3 linked regions of the Drosophila melanogaster genome follow. The protein of the gene in region 2 interacts with the protein of the main gene of each other region in a pairwise test. Each region holds a gene or a part of one and is shown on either strand. Other genes may lie near its edges.

Region 1 (5,748 bases), on a different chromosome or scaffold from region 2:
AAGACCGGATAAGGGAGTTCATTTGCAACTCTCATGGTGGGCGGCTCACACGCAAGTTTGGCTCCATAAGCCCTGCTCCACAGAAGCCTTTTATGGGCGACACGTGCCGGTTGTCGGTGGGGCAATATGCATGCAAAAAACAGCTCACGCTAGCACGCATAAGCCGGCAATGTTATTGTTTACCAAAATTGGGGAAAAATTCCACTTGAACTGCCGGGCCATCGGAAATGTTTGCACACTCTTTTGGCACCCATTCCGCAGCCGATGAAGCGAAGGAGAGGCATGATCGGCTGGAGAGGCTTGTCCGATTCGCTTCGATCCGATCCGCAGTCACATGACAAACGCGTGAATTGGGCGTTCTGAGTTCTGGGTGACAAGCGAAACGTGTGAATAGGCTAGTCGCACGACCCGCTTGTACGTCTAATCAGATGGCAGATAAACGGGCAAACGGGCAAAACAATTAGCCCCACTGGGAGCCCACTCTCTCATCCATTTCGAATGGTAATTGATGGATCGGCCAATTTTCGTGGGATGCGTACGGGTACGTGCTAAAAACAGCACGGAATGGTACTAATTTTAAATGGAACTCTTTGGGGAAGACAGAGTGTTGGCTATTCCGGGATTGTAAAATTGATGGCCCCTGCTTATAGGCGACCGACCCACTATCAATGCCATTCGAAGATAAAGCCGGAGTGTATGGGCATTAATAAAAGTGTACGGCAGTTTCCGCCCGATCGGACAAAAGCCGGGACTCCAAGAGACGGGAAAACCACTTGGCGATAAGCCGATGCAGCTAGTACAAAGGTGCGACTAGCGTTTTCCGCTGCTCAATTAGTGGGCTTCGCTACGGCTAATCGTAAATAACATAGATTACTCCGATGTCTAGACTATAAATATAATCGGGTGGCTAATTATATGTACGAACTCGCTATGGCGCACTCACCTATGAAGTTCAGCTTGTCGGTGGCCAGATTGCAAAAGTCGGGATCGTCCACATCGAAAATGATGCCATCCTCCCACTCGGTGACAATGTGAGACGAGGAGACGGAAACGGAAGTGGTGGAGCGTTGCTGCTGCTGTTGCACCAATGAGCTGTTGTTGTTGTTGTTGCTGCTGCTGCTGCTGGCGGAGATGTGGTTGTTGTTGCTGCCCGTTTTCATCTCCATAAGGGTAAGAGAAACGCAATTAGAGGATTCCTTGGCTAAGCAGATACGTGCTGGCATGCAAACAGCAAAAAGTACACACGTGGCTTAAAGCGCAGCTTGTGTTGATTGGCCAAGTGTTTGGATAAAGGGGGGTGGGGGGGTGGTTGATAACACAGTCAAGGGGGAGGGGAGCAGGCACACAGCTGTTGCACGCTTACCCCTCCCCGCACTTCTTACAACACTTCTTTGCACAAGTGCAACATGCAAATCAATAGATGCAAGCTAAATTTTATTTGGGTGAAGGCTACATGTGTGTGAGTGTGTGTTTGCATGCATGAGTGAGCAATTGCATTCGCTTCGTGTATTTGTTGCTGTTATTGCTTTTGCAAATTTTGTTTGGTCTCCATACATGTGTGTTTGCATGGAAATGCCTAAAATCTGTGTTACGTGTGCTGGCCTCTAAGCTCACTCACCTTTATACTAGCAGCACGCTCAGTCGACCAGCTTGAAGTTAAGTATCCAAATTTAGGCCAACGCAACCGAATTTTAAGTTAAATTTGGATAAAATTCAGGCAAAACAAAACTTTGCTTGCAAAATTGCTGGCAACTAGAGGTGGTCAGCTGTCGATTATCGTAGTTGGCAACACTAATCGATAGGACAGAAAGCGTTATGCATTTCAACTTCAATGTTCAAATGAACAAACTAAAATTTTCTATTCTCTTTTGATACCTGTAATATGAAAATAATATAGATAGTTTGCTTAGATCCCGCTGAATAACCTTATATATATATAACAATATAACTTAAATTTATTTTCTAATTTGTTATCTCAAATTTTAGCATTCTGACAAGTATCAAGTTTGTAATCATTTTTAACGATTTATTACAAATATCTTAATACAATTGTATTGTTAGTTCATATGCACACTGCCATCTCTAACGTGCGCCGTGGCAGACGTAAGCACCTCCCATCGCTATAAACGTAACCATCATAACGTAACCAAAATTCGATCAAAATAAATTTGGAATATCACAAAAATCATTATTCGCACCTGGAACAGAAAGAAAATGCACCAGCCTGGCCTTCTGCAGCTGAATAGATTGCACTAAGGCAGCATTTCGAATCCGAAACGTAGGAACTAGCCCACAGCGAAATCATGGAGGAGAATATGTGGTAAATAATAAACATTGGGTTGGGGCTACGTCAACAACTAAGATTAGTCAGAGAGTCTAGAGATTCAGCTCCAGCACCTCATTTTCTTTGGCATCCATCGCCTTTGGCTTTCTCGAACAGACCACCATTTGTTTCGCTGATTGAGTCAGCAGCTTGGTGCTGGGCCAGCGGGACGCGGAGCACCTGGGGGTGTGGGTGCTCCGCCTTATCAGCAGCTGGTTATTTAGACACGTTGACGTCCCCTTCACCCGTAGCATGAGCAGAACAAGTACCAAGCAACTGATTGTGATGGACATCCCTCTCTTGTATGCAGGATCATTGAGCTGGAGTCGGCACTGCTGGACGACTGCACTGTCAACGACATCTACGGCATATGCCAGGGCAAGGCTCTGCCGGAGGCACTGCGTCCGGACGTGTGGCAAGTGTGCCTGGATGTGCGCCACAAATCGGATCAAATGTCGCTCTTCAACGAGATCTACGACCTGCCCTTCCAAAGCCAACTGCGCGAGGATTGCCAGCGGCACGTCGATCGCATGGGCAACGATGAGGAGGACAAGGTCTCGGTGGTATCCGACCTCGAGTCCATCATCACCTTCTACTGCAAGAACAGAAACCTTCAGTATGAGCCGGACAACGGATGGATTGAATTGCTGCTCCCGCTGTTCGCCCTGAAGCTGAATCGCTCCGACACATTCAACCTGTTCGAGTCCATACGAGACACGTACATACCCAAGGGTTGCCGGCCCAAGGGCAATGTCTTTCATGTCTTCCGACTGCTCCTGCTTTACCACGATCCGGAGCTGTGCACGCTGCTGGACACCAAGAAGATCACGCCCGACTTGTACTCGCTGACCTGGTTCCAGTCGCTTTTCGCCTCCTGCAGCAGCCTGTCAGTGATCATTGCCATGTGGGACCTGTACTTTCAGAACGCCGATCCCTTCATGGTCTTCTTCCTGGCGCTAATAATCTTGATCAACGGCAGGGAGCAGATCCTGCAGATGAGGAGCTCGTCCAAGGAGGAGATCATCAAGTTCCTGAGCCTTATGCCGTGCGCCCTGGAGTTCGACGACGTCCCCGACTTTTGCTCCCTGGCCCAGTACTACGCGCTCAAGACACCAACTTCCTTCAAGACGGACTATCTGAAGGCGCTGTACGGCAAGCAGAATGATACACCGCGCAGCCAGGAGGAGGCAAACAAGGTATCACAGGCCCTGTGCCTGCCCGTCTCCGTTTACGAGCTGGTAGAGAACTCGGCCACAGAGTTTCCTGTGCCGGATGCAGTGCGTTTCTTTCTCGTTGACTGCCGCCCGGCCGAGCAATACAACGCCGGCCACCTGTCCACGGCATTCCATCTGGACTGCAACCTCATGCTCCAGGAACCTGTCGCCTTTGCCACCGCCGTCCAGGGCCTCCTGACCGCCCAGCGGCAGGCCATCGAGGCCAACTCGAACGCCGGCGGCGAGCATCTGTGCTTCATGGGCAGCGGTCGCGTCGAAGAGGACCAGTACACACACATGGTGGTGGCCTCGTTCCTGCAGAAGAACACCCACTACGTGTCGCTGCTGACCGGTGGCTACGCCTCCATCCACGACTACTTCGGCGATCAAATGGCCGATTGCCTGGAGGATCACAATGCGCGCAAGTGCCTCGTCTGCCAGCAGCACAACGCGCAGCAGGTAAGACTTCGATAACTCAGGAAATGTACAATACTTTGAATCGAATTAGTATACTTATAATTTCTCAATTCCGCTCCTGCAGACTAAATCAGCGCCGCTTAAGACTTCGACGCCATCCTCTACAGACCTATTCAGCAAGTTCTCCGCCGCCATGAAGTCAAAGTCTGCCGAGGTCAAGGGCAAACTACTAGACATTATCGTGAATCCCAGTGCAAATGGCGGAGCCACGGCTAGCGGCACCAATGGTGTGCCATCGGCGCCGGTGCAAGAGCGCCATGTTAGTGCAAAGGAGCGGAACGGCAAGCGCTACCGCAATGTGGCACCTGTGTTCAGCATCGACGATGAGAACGAGGATGCCTTGGACGGGGCGGGGGAGCGGGATGACGCACCGCTGACCAGCGACGGCAAGGAGATCGTGAATCTGAACCAGTACTTCAAGACGGCGGACATCATCAACGCCTTCAAGTGCCAGGAGGTGCACATGAGCGGCTACATGTACGACAGTCATTTGATCATCACGCCCGGGCAACTGGTGGTGCTGCGGGAACTGGGACGCGGCCAGGCGCAGATAATGGTGCGTCGCCCGCTGGCGAGCATCGTGAAGATCACGGCCAAGAAGCGACACCGCGACCTCATCACGTTCAAGTACGGATTCCCCGATGGCGATGGTCTGCTCATAACCGACATGGACCGCTTCCTCATACCAAATGCGGCCGAAGTTACGGCACTGATTTCAAGGCTCATCGTGCAGGTGCTTGACGACGCCAAGTAGGATAAACCGGACAACCGCCGCATGCTCTTCTTGTTTCCGCCTTTCCGCATCAAGCTTTATTTCATGAACGGCCACTGATACAAAAATCAGAGACACAAAGTGCAATGCGCCGCTGCGAGCGGTGTAATAGTTTGTAATTGGCATTGTTTTCCTTGTATTAGCTGAAATAGTATAGTTCTTATTGTAAACGAAGCGCTGGCTGCAATTGTAACATAGTGCACTCGGTGCAGAGACCGGATTTGAAGAAAATAGTCGAACGTAGTCCCAGATCACATGGCCATCCCGAGCATGCCACGCCCCCGATCCCAATTTTCTAAATTTCTAAGTGCGAATAAGGAACCCTTACCGAAGCCCTGAGACTTACAACGTGTACATGATGAGAGTAACTAATATTTATTGCAATCAAACCAAACAAATAAAACTGTATTATAATCGACACAAAAAATTGTTAAAAAATCATAGCTCTCTTTGAAATTTCATCGGAACTTAACAGATGCACCACGCAGCCGCATCTTCTTTTTTTTTTAGATTTCATGTTTTTCCAGCAGCGGAAGATTGCAGGTTGTGGTGCGATTCTGTGGATCCTGGAGACCATTGACTTCGTTGACAAGATTTTGAGCCTGCGCAAGTTGTTTGCTCCGATGGGTGCGATATAACCAGGTCGCCGAAACAAGTAAGGCGACCAGCAATATGGCTGCGCACACAGCTACTACTACTACGACTACCATTGGGTAATCTCGGACTGCTTCCAGCTTTTTCTGATTCAGCTCCAGTTTGCCCACGATCGCCAGGAGTTGATTAAATGATTCCAAGGTCACGGATTCCTGGGAAGATTTTGGTTCCTTCTGCAGCGTTGCGTAACCTGCTTTCGAAGGAACTCTTTCCCGGACTTCTCCACGGAGGGCGACAGCTGGACTGCGCACGGCACAGTCGCTTTGAATGCTCAGGATTCCACTGCCATTCAATTGGAGCTCCTGCCT
Region 2 (4,868 bases):
GTTTGGATTGAGGGTGACAACAAGGGAAACAGCTCGGATTCCCGCTACTACGGACCCATTCCGGTGGGCCTCATCCGGAGCCGCGTGCTCTGCCGCATCTGGCCGATATCCGAGGCCACGGGTCTATAGATGGCATTCGTACAACAAAGAGTTTAAAATCAACTTGACCCAATAAATGGCCTATGTTTCGTTTGGAAATTATAGTACATCAAACCACAACTTTTTAGAATCATTACGTATGCGAGTTTCGTCTCATTTGTGCGACTTCTGGTTTTTGCATATCATTGAAAATAAGTTGAAAAAAACAGGAGAGAATAATAATTTCTTTTCATTTTTGTTTTTAATAAACATATTTTTCAAAGTATGAAGCTTACATCCTTAATCCTTATTGGCTTACCTTCTAAGGAAGTATTTACCATGTTTGGGCGTCATATTCAAAATAATGCCATATTTTAAATTATTGGCGTTTCTAAAAATGGTATCAAAAGAAAAGCTTTTGTAAAAGGCTGTGTGAGCTTTAATTGATATATGCATATAATTATATACAAAAAAATTCATTTATTGACTACATTGTGAACATTTGAATGCGCAGTTGTGATGCTGCTGGCTTTTGGAAGAAAGGACTTTATAAAAATTGCACTAAGGATTTGGCCATTGCACCGACAAGTCTCACGAATTCTTTTTATCCTGCTGCTCCTGTGGCTGCTCCCGATCCACGTAATACAGATTGTATTTCTTCTTTAGCACCTGATGCACTTCGTCGCGACAGGTGAGGGTCAGGCCGCGCTTCTGGTAGTCCAAAAAGGTGCAGACGAACTGCCTGTTCGTCTCGTGGACCTGCGGATGCTTCAGATACTCCGCGATGGGCATCCACTGGATGCGCGCTATCTCGCGTTCGCAGCGCGTAAAGTCCAAATTCAGTGGCTTTAGGGCGATGACCACGTACATGTCGGAGCAGCCGAAGGTGCCGCCATGGGCATGCCGCAGACTGACCACTGAGCGGAATTCGGTGCGGATTCCCGTCTCCTCGGCCACCTCTCGTATTGCCGCATCGATGAGATTCTCCCGCGGCTCCACATAGCCGCCGGGCAGCTTCCAGCTGTTTGGTATCATTGCAAAACGATCGGACACCACCAGCACCTCGTCCTGTTCGTTGATAACCAGTCCGCCGACGCCCATTAGCGTGTGGGCGTAGGTGGGTAGGTTGCTAGACTCGTGCTCCGGCAACCAGCGGTACATGACCACCACACCGGTCTTGGCATGATGGAAATCAAAGCCGTTCTCCGCCAGAATGGGCACCCAATCAGCCTGCTCCTTGTACACGCGGAACCAAATGGCCCGGTTCTTGTTCGTCGTCCAAAAGTCCAGGGATTCTAAAAGGTATTTCGTTATTAATATAATTTGGTAATTGGTGACACAGATTTAATTAAAATTATAAGCCGTTTATTGTCTATGACTATTTATAGTCATAGACAACTTTTAAATTGATAAAAGTGGAGAGCAATGATTTTGGAAATTTAATTTAGTACCCCAACTTTAGATAGATAAACTTTTAATCAACTTATGATAGCACGAAGACTTAGAAGATACAATGATACAAAAAATATACGTCCAGGCAAAGATACCGACATATTTTAAGATATATATTCTTACTTGTGAGCTTGTCCCGGAAACTGGATTTGTCCACGTTCTCCTCGCGCCCATCGACTGTTACTCCGGCAAATCGATCCGTAATGCCGCGGAATACATCCGCCGGCGTGTCCATGGTTTTGGAGCTAAATCGTGGGATACAAATAGTTTTCAATCATGTGTTAAATACATATGTATGTACATCTTTCAATTCTTACGACGAGTATGCTCTTGTAAATTGCTGCTGTGACTGAAGCTTTAATGGAACTCTGGCGGCAACCGTGGATGTGGGTCGTTTTCTAGCGGTCCGGAGGAGTGTGCTCCATGAATTGAACGCCGGCTGGTTAAGTACGGTTCTGCGAGCCAGAAAACCGGTGGCCAACATTAAATAATCTCACAGTTCGACGAACACAACGTTGTTGATGACGACGACGGCGATCGACCACGTTGGCGTCACTACTAGTTCGCAACCGGAGATCTGGGTGCTGTCCGCTTGGTGGGCGTGGCGGAGGCGGTGGCGGCGACAACGACTTTACCGTCTCAGTTTATCCACAATGCGAGGTGAAGCCAATTCCTGGGCATGCTGTGTGTGTGTGTGAAACGAGGCAAACAGACAGGTGAAAGAGGTGAAATAGCCGCATGGCTCCAAACAACGATGCAAATCTGCTGCGATGGGCGGAGCAGAGCGAGACGGAGGAGCAGGTTGCCACTATCTGCCGCCGTCGCTAGATAAGCGATATGGCCGCTGTTACGTTCGGATTTCTGTTCTTGACATTTCGAATTTGGCGCTAACGTCAGTAACAAATAGTGGCGATAGAGATGCGCAGAACAGTGTGACTTTGACAGAAAACCGGTGACATGAGTATAATGAAACTAAAATATAGATTCAACTGAAAGTATCACTATATATGTACATATATATAAAAAACTGTGTTATCACTATACTAATACTAATACTAATATTAATGGCAATCACGATAGCAGTCACTGCTTCCTGCTCATCTCTAGCGCAACCTTGAGCGACAACCCAAGGTGCGTGTGGGTGGTGGGTGGCGGTGTTGGGGTGTGGGGTCGTTTCAATTGTTTCCGCATGGGTTTTGTGTTTGTTTATCAACTGAATTGCTGCTGTTATCAACGCGCCAGAGAATTGATACGCGTTTTACATAACAAACCAAGCCAAATATATTTTTTTTTATTCCATATCTGCGCTAGAATAGAACATTGTGTGGAACTCGAACTCACTAGAAAAGTCAATGGCTAATGGTGTCACTGAGCCAATCCGTCCAGTTCCTCCAGACGACTAATTACAGATCCGATCCAATGTAGCCATGGACTTTGGCATAAACAAGCGAATAGAGCAGCGCGCGATTTCAATTCGCTTCCACTTCCACTAGCACGTTAATTTCTAGGGATGGCGCGCACACAGAAAAGTCAGTCAGCTGATCCGGCAGTGCTGCCAGCCTGGCTAGAAAAAGCTGTTCAGCCTTATATGTAATGGTTAAAAATCAAATATGAGCAAACCAACATTTTTTAAATATATGGCCTCCGGAACAATTTATTAAATCTTGAAATAGCTAATATGGGTTATATAAGTTACTGGCTAGCGGCTTGGCTAATATATCGAATGTTTCCATCCTTTAGATGGCCAAAAGAGCTTAAGTTCGCTGGTCGTCGGCTTCGTTGCGGGAAAATTCGCTGCTGTCATCGCTATTTATCGCGCTCTTGGTATGCGTGCAGTCCTTCCTACAATAATATAGTAATAGTCACAGTCAATGCCAGGAAGGACAATGCTGCATAAGTAGTAGCATAAGTAATGATTAATTCAATTGGGAAATTTTTGATGAGTACGCAAAACATCTAACGCTATTCTAATAAGAAATGCGACCAGCTTTAGAATTAACATTCTGATTAGCAGAGGGTTGAAGTCGTTCTTAAAGACGGCTAAAAGTAGACTACAAAATATTTAAATGCAAGAGGAATTCAATAATCCTAGAACTTAAACTAAGCTTTTCAAATTTGAATGGAAATGTGGAATAAATACCGTATATGTAGCATTCGATGCCGATCTCCTAGTCTCTATCTCTAATCGGTTCGACGTGGCCACGTTCGGCCAGATGCAGCAGATCCTCGATGCCCTGCCTGCGGAGCATGCGGCGATGATTCTTGAAGAACGATATCACCTTCTTGGACTGTGGAGCCCGCATCCGTCTCTTGACCGTCATCGTTGGTCATCTTGGAGCTACTGTTCCATTTTTAATTTTTTCGCCTTTTTACTTTACTTGAATACGAAAAGAAACATATCTGTATAAATCGTTTTAATAGGCCAATAGGTGCCTTCAAATTCTATAGTTGAGATCCTTTGAAACTTTATTTTCATATATAACTAAATATCCTCTTTGGCTGCGCGCCCAGTTTGGCCCATTTCTCTCCTCTTCACTTATTTTATTTTATTTAATTTGATTTTTTTTTTTTGAAATCGAAATAGTTGCGCAATTGAGGGCGAGTCCTTTGTGCGAGTCCAGTGATTTGGAAAGGGCTATTTAGAGCAACAAAGCGCCAGCGACCAGGAATCCTGGGGAATCAGGAACCAGTTAGCAGTTTAGAGCGCGATTGAAGGGATTACGAGTAGAAAGGATCGTAAATGTGTTGCGAAATGCACATTTAAACCGTGACTCACCAGGGGGGTGGTAGTTGTGTGTGTGTGGGGGGGGGAGGTGTGTGTGTGTGTGTGTGGTGGTATGTCCTTGTGCCATAAATTCAGGTGCTTCAGTTGGACAACAATGGTACTCGTTGAGTTTCGCCTGATGTTTGTATTTTGATTGCCGGCTTAGCAATTTTCAATTTCTTTTTGTTTTTTGGGGGGGAAATTCCCAAAAAAAAAAAAATATGCGAAGAGGGAGTACATAAAAAAGTTACCCCTCTCCAGCGGGCGATATTTGCTCAGTTGTTTAAACAAATTTTCCGCTTAGGGTTGCTAACCAACCTCCTGTTTGCACACAATGGATTTCCATGCCGTGGCTTAAGTGAAAATGCCATCTCAAATATTTATTAAAAAATCTATGGCTGTTTGGGGACACGTACATATACACACATATATATATATATATATATCTATTTTCCATCGCCGGCTTATCGAAAACTTCAACTCCAATGTCGAAGTTGGTGGAAAATCGGGGTTATTAGGTTCCCAGGCGCGATCTTCGTCAACCCTTTTCTTTGTATTTCCTTCACTATTTTGC
Region 3 (5,249 bases), on a different chromosome or scaffold from region 2:
TTGGATGATCGGGCTCAGCTCGAAACTATTACGACCTCCAACGTATGGGGCCGTTTTTAAAGATCTTCAATTGATGGTCAAGATTTTGTTTTCCCTCGGCAAACAGCTAATTTCCATACTCATTAACGTTTAATGAACGGCAATAGCAATAAATAATGTTATAGCTTCATTTATGGATGCTAAAACTATCTGTTCCTTCATTATCAACGAATCTCATTAGATGCACTTACTAGATATAATTTTAATTATAGTAATAGTTTCGAGACTCACCGCTTTCCGTTGCGAGAACGCTTCTCGCTCTCGGCCTCCTTGACGCTGTCCCAGCTGTCGCCCACTCCCGAGGACATGTCGTCCAGCCGCTCCTCGTCCTCCATGCCCGAGTCCTCCAGGCTGATGTGGCAGCTAGTCAGAGTAACTGCCGTGCCGTTGTCGCCCACCTCGATCCAATCCGAGGTGCGGATGCGCTGGGATCGCTCGGTTCCGTAGGGCGAGGAGTCTGTGGAGCAGCCCGAGGGGCAGCGCTTCCTCGAGGACGAGCCCTCCTTGCCAATGTTCTCCTTCAGCGATTTATTGACTGCGTAGGTGAGGGTGTCCTCCTCGTCGACGTCACCATCGGCATCCTCCACGTTGTCCGCATCCACATCCTCGGTGTCGGCATCATCTATAGAGTTGTAGCGCCTGCGAGATGCCACGCTTTTGGGCGTGGAAGTGGTGGGTGGCGGCGACTTGGCGGTGGGTAGCTGCTCCAGGGAGCAGGACTTGTTCCGCATGGCAGCCAGCTCCGAGATGAGCATCTCGTGGAAGGCTTGCTTCTTTTGCGGCGTGTTGCCCACGCTGATCGAGCTCTTCATGGTGCTCGTCTGGCCGCCGTTAACATTGATCCTCATGCAGTTGCCCGATGACTGGATGGCCAGGACATCGGACTCCTGCTTCAGGGCCTCGTGCTTGGTTATGATGGTGGTGTCGGTGGCTGCCTGTTTCTGGCTCTGGTTGATGATTATCTCCGAGAACAAACGCTCGGCGGCGTTCTTCAGATTATTCTTGATCTCCACGGTCCGTCCGGACAGGAATCCTCCTCCATTGTGCGGGGAGGATGCCGAATCCTTCTGGCTGCCATCCAGGGTGGTCTTTGATCGCCTGAAGAGTCCATTTGATGATGGGCTGGGAGCCACCACTGGTATGTCTTCCACATCTAGAGTGGCCACGGGCACTTGAACAATTTTCCGTGGCCTGGGAAGTGGCTGACTGGCCGGCTGGAGGCCCGCCCTCTCGAAGTCCACCTTTCCCAGGCTCAAGCGGGTGTCCTTGCGGGGTGTGGTCTGTGGCGTGCTCCCGATCACGCTTATCGAGTTATGCCGGTTGACCGTGACCACCGAGGTCATTGAATCCCTGGGCTTGGCCGTGGGCACATCCGGTGCCTTGCGCAGCTTCAGGGGCTTCACCGGCGGCGTTGGCACCGCCGTGGTGGGCGTCTGGGTCTGGGCCTGTTTCTTGGGCAGATTGACCGTTGGCGACTTGTAGACCAAGGTACGACCCACTGCACTCAGCTGGCTCACGAAGGTGGGCTTCTTCTGAATGATCGGAGGGGCTCCTGCTCCATTGGCCAGCTGAGCTGCTGCTTTGGGCCTGGGCGGCACTGGTGGTCCTGGCCGCTTCACCACCATCGTGTTGGTGGTGGTGGCTGCTGATCCGGCGGCTGTGGTGGCCATTGGTGGTGGTGGTGGTGCCTTCGCTGTGCTACACGTTCTCACGCCAAAACCGCACTCGAAACCAGTATTTTTAGGTCACTTCTCGAACGGCAAGCCAGAGACTACTGCGCTTATTTATTATTATTACTTAGCATAAGCGCGCAAATGGGAAACTAGTTTTGCTCTTCTCACATGGCGATCTCCTCCGCAGCTCCTCGTCACCACCTCATCCACATCTCCTCCGGTCTCTCGAGTCGATCTCTGATCTATTTTGAATATAGGCCAATGCAACGGAGCTAGTTGGATGCTGGATATTGTAAGTTGGATTGCTAGTTGAACGTTGGATGTTGGATGTGCCAAGTAACACTTTATTGGTCGGCTATTCAGTTATTCGATATGGAATATAAGCATGGCCGCCGCTCGGCTCTTTGCTCTTTTGCGAAACTCGTTTTCGATCTTTGGGGTTCTGTGGATTTTAAAGTGAAAGGGTTCCGTTTATTTTGGTTTTGGGTCTCTGCATCGGGCAATGGAAACTTTGCGACCAACAACGCCGTGCCATTTAATTGTTCATTAGTTTGGAAAAAGAATAAGCGACCTAATCCTTGGATTCTGATCTGTTTAAAGTGAAAGGGGATTGGTTTTCTGACTTGGACCTATGAGATGGGAACATTAACGCTTAAGGCTTGTTATATCAATTAACAAAGCTCCTCCATTTAGATAATTATCTATATATTGATAAACTGAAAACAATATGGGTACAACGATAAACAAAAGACTTAAGTAAAACCATATAGGCACTGAAAACACTCTTTATAAGTCGGGGCCTTTAAAAGAATGGCGCTGGCAATTAACGGTTTTTGTTGTTTGCACAAAGAAGTTTCACTTTAGCACTGAATTCGGCACTAGCTGGATCTCGAGTTTACGATTTTTTAACAGCCTTTATTTGTTTAAATTTTACGTGTATAATTTAAGCACTGCACCCACACCCACACGTAAATCACTGAACCGATTTTTAAGGCGGGGGAGCATGAGTTTACAGGGTTTCCATTTTATCGGATCGGTTCGTTGGGAAAACCCCAAGATATGATAGTTATCTCTTGGGTATTCTAATGATTGAGTGAATCACCAAACAGTAAATACTGCACTTTTGCGCTTCAAATAGCCAAGACCATTGCAGCGGACACACCAACTCGCACACACCCGGGCACACTCACACACACTAGCACGCAGATGCGACCGACACGGATGCGAATACGATTCGTTTTACGATACGATACAGATGCGATATATCCGCTGTACGATGCGCTTTGCACGAGAGCCAGAAGTGAACTGAAACCGAAACGGAGAGAAAGATTCGAAAGAGCGAGGCTCAGCGCACCTTGCTCAACATTGTTGTTGCTACACGGCCGCACTGGTATGCGTGTGTGTGTGTGTCTGCGAGTGCGACAGTGTGGGTGCCTTGGGTAAACGAGTGACGCGGCACAACTCGAAAAGTCTGCACTTCAAAGATAATTTTGCATCGCATGCAGTCACGCAGTTACTCTATTATTTACCAAGCTGAATGCAAATAAATTCGGTTTATTTTTATTTGTATGTAAAATGAATTATATTTCGTTACAAAAATATAGGTAAGCATTTTAAACTATTGAGTAAGTTCTTGTATTCGTGTACAAAGGATTATTTTAGGAACAATTATTTCTTATATTCCACTGTGAGCACCTACGTAAATAAGGAACTTGGCTTCTTAATTAAACAACAATTTGAAATTGATTTCAACGCAAATGTTTCGTATCTTTTACTACTGTACCAAACTATATAAACCAAACCCAAAATACACGGTTAAAGTTCCGAAAAGTTAGAAACCAAACGGGTTGAACTTTAAATTAACTTTAGCTTTTCAACCGCAACCGAATGGAACCCAACCAGCTCTTATACACCGCTGCTCCTCTCTTTTGGCCGATTCTCTGCTCCTCTCCAGGTTTTCGGAAGAGAAACTTGGCACATGGCCAGAAGTGCATTGATTGCTTCTTGAAACGGGTGGTGCTGGAGTACGATGACGATGATGAGGTTCCCCGGTTGCCGGCGTCTGGCTGCTGCTCGGTTTTCCTTTTTTTGGGGGGTCGTCTGGCGTTGCAACAGCTGTTGTTGCCGCATCGCGACAAAGCACCCGCCACCCGAACTCCCCAAAAAAAAATCTTTATTGATTGCCTGTGCAAGTACCGGAGTACGTGCCGTAGGGTGGACTTTCATGGGGAATCATAGCCTATATACAAGTTAATGATCAGATATAACAAGAAAGCCAAGCGTTTAATAAATTACTCATACGACCTGTTAGGCAAGCTAACATAGATTCCTAACACGATTCCTCTTTCGGAAACATCCCATGACTTTATTTTTATGGAGAAAGTAAGATCCCAACCAGGACATTTATTTTACTTAATATTGCTTTTGGATACTGACATGCCTTTCCTTGTGAAAATCAAATGAAAAGGTCCACACTACGTATGAGTGATTTGTATGAGTACTCATGAGTACAACTCAGGTCCACCCTAACAAATATGCAGAAATTTTGCAGAATTGCTGCGCCATGAATGCATACAGTACATATAAAAACATAAACATAGCCAGTGTAAGTAATAGCTCTAATCGTGCTTCCCTTTCAGCACTTTTACTATTGTCATTGCTAAGCAAAAGGACCCAGAATGCGACACTAGAATGGCCACGTTATTTATGGTGCCACATAGCATTGCACATACTACTTGTCGCAGACTATCAACTTCGTTTTCGGGGGTAATGCCATTTGAAACTGACGCATTCATTATTGAGCGAGTAGACGGTCAGCCCCAAACTATGCAAATCAGGCGGGACGGCAAAAAGGCAGTCAAAGGGAGTCAAACCATTCAAACCGAAGGCTGTTCCACTCAAGTCTTGCATTTCACTTGCTCCCTCATTAATTATCTATACGTCATCCCTTCCCGGAATTATAATACCTAAGATTTACGAATGTCTGCAGTATCAGTATAGAATTACAACCGCCTGTTTACTTTGCCAGCTACTTAACTTTCAACCAGCTCGCACCTCAGGAAGCCCCAAATATGAAGGTTAAGCTTTGCTAAATACCATGCCTGGCTGGAGGAATGAATGTTTAGACGTACTCTAATCCGGAAGCACTTCAAAACCAAACCCCCGCCAACGTAAGTTTCGTTGGTAGAATTAAAGTTACATTTAGCGTCCTGGTTGCACATATTTACTTTACACAAAATATATATCATTTAAAAGTTAATTATAATAGGTTAGTTAGGTTAAGACTTTAGGCGATAAAATAACTTATTTCGATTCGGCCCACCGATTCGCTCGTACCCTTGCAGGTTGGCCAGCAGTACATTTCTAACTAGATTACATATCAAAGAGGTTAATGGCCAGACGGACAGATTTAATTGTAATCGAGAGTAACGAAATCAAAGCATCTGTACAGTCAAAATGTAACTTACAAGGGCATAACAATATACAATTGACTTTCGAAATAATCAACTTGTTAAACAAATATCTATACACATATTC

What was found. Proteins that work in one complex are often made in the same cells at the same time.
Region 1: the proteins of CG8128 (region 2) and TBC1D23 interact in a two-hybrid assay, tested with the Drosophila melanogaster proteins (one large-scale study listed by BioGRID).
Region 3: the proteins of CG8128 (region 2) and CG31038 interact in a two-hybrid assay, tested with the Drosophila melanogaster proteins (one large-scale study listed by BioGRID).

What each region holds. Positions count from the first base shown.
Region 1 is NT_033779.5:1,127,186-1,132,933, forward strand, and holds TBC1D23 (TBC1 domain family member 23), read left to right. Parts: upstream 1-2,130; 5' UTR 2,131-2,303; coding exon 2,304-2,320; intron 2,321-2,633; coding exon 2,634-3,996; intron 3,997-4,078; coding exon 4,079-4,768; 3' UTR 4,769-5,226; downstream 5,227-5,748. Other genes in the region: Pino (pinocchio), read right to left, coding at 944-1,160; iris, read right to left, coding at 5,293-5,748.
Region 2 is NC_004354.4:15,695,667-15,700,534, reverse strand, and holds CG8128 (uncharacterized protein), read right to left. Parts: upstream 3,042-4,868; 5' UTR 2,872-3,041; intron 2,503-2,871; exon of another isoform or gene 2,213-2,502; 5' UTR 2,015-2,212; coding exon 1,848-2,014; intron 1,776-1,847; coding exon 1,654-1,775; intron 1,374-1,653; coding exon 670-1,373; 3' UTR 501-669; downstream 1-500. Other genes in the region: CG9240 (uncharacterized protein), read left to right, coding at 1-129.
Region 3 is NT_033777.3:29,874,832-29,880,080, reverse strand, and holds the start of CG31038 (uncharacterized protein), read right to left. Parts: upstream 3,023-5,249; 5' UTR 2,966-3,022; exon of another isoform or gene 2,155-2,965; 5' UTR 1,710-2,154; coding exon 271-1,709; intron 1-270.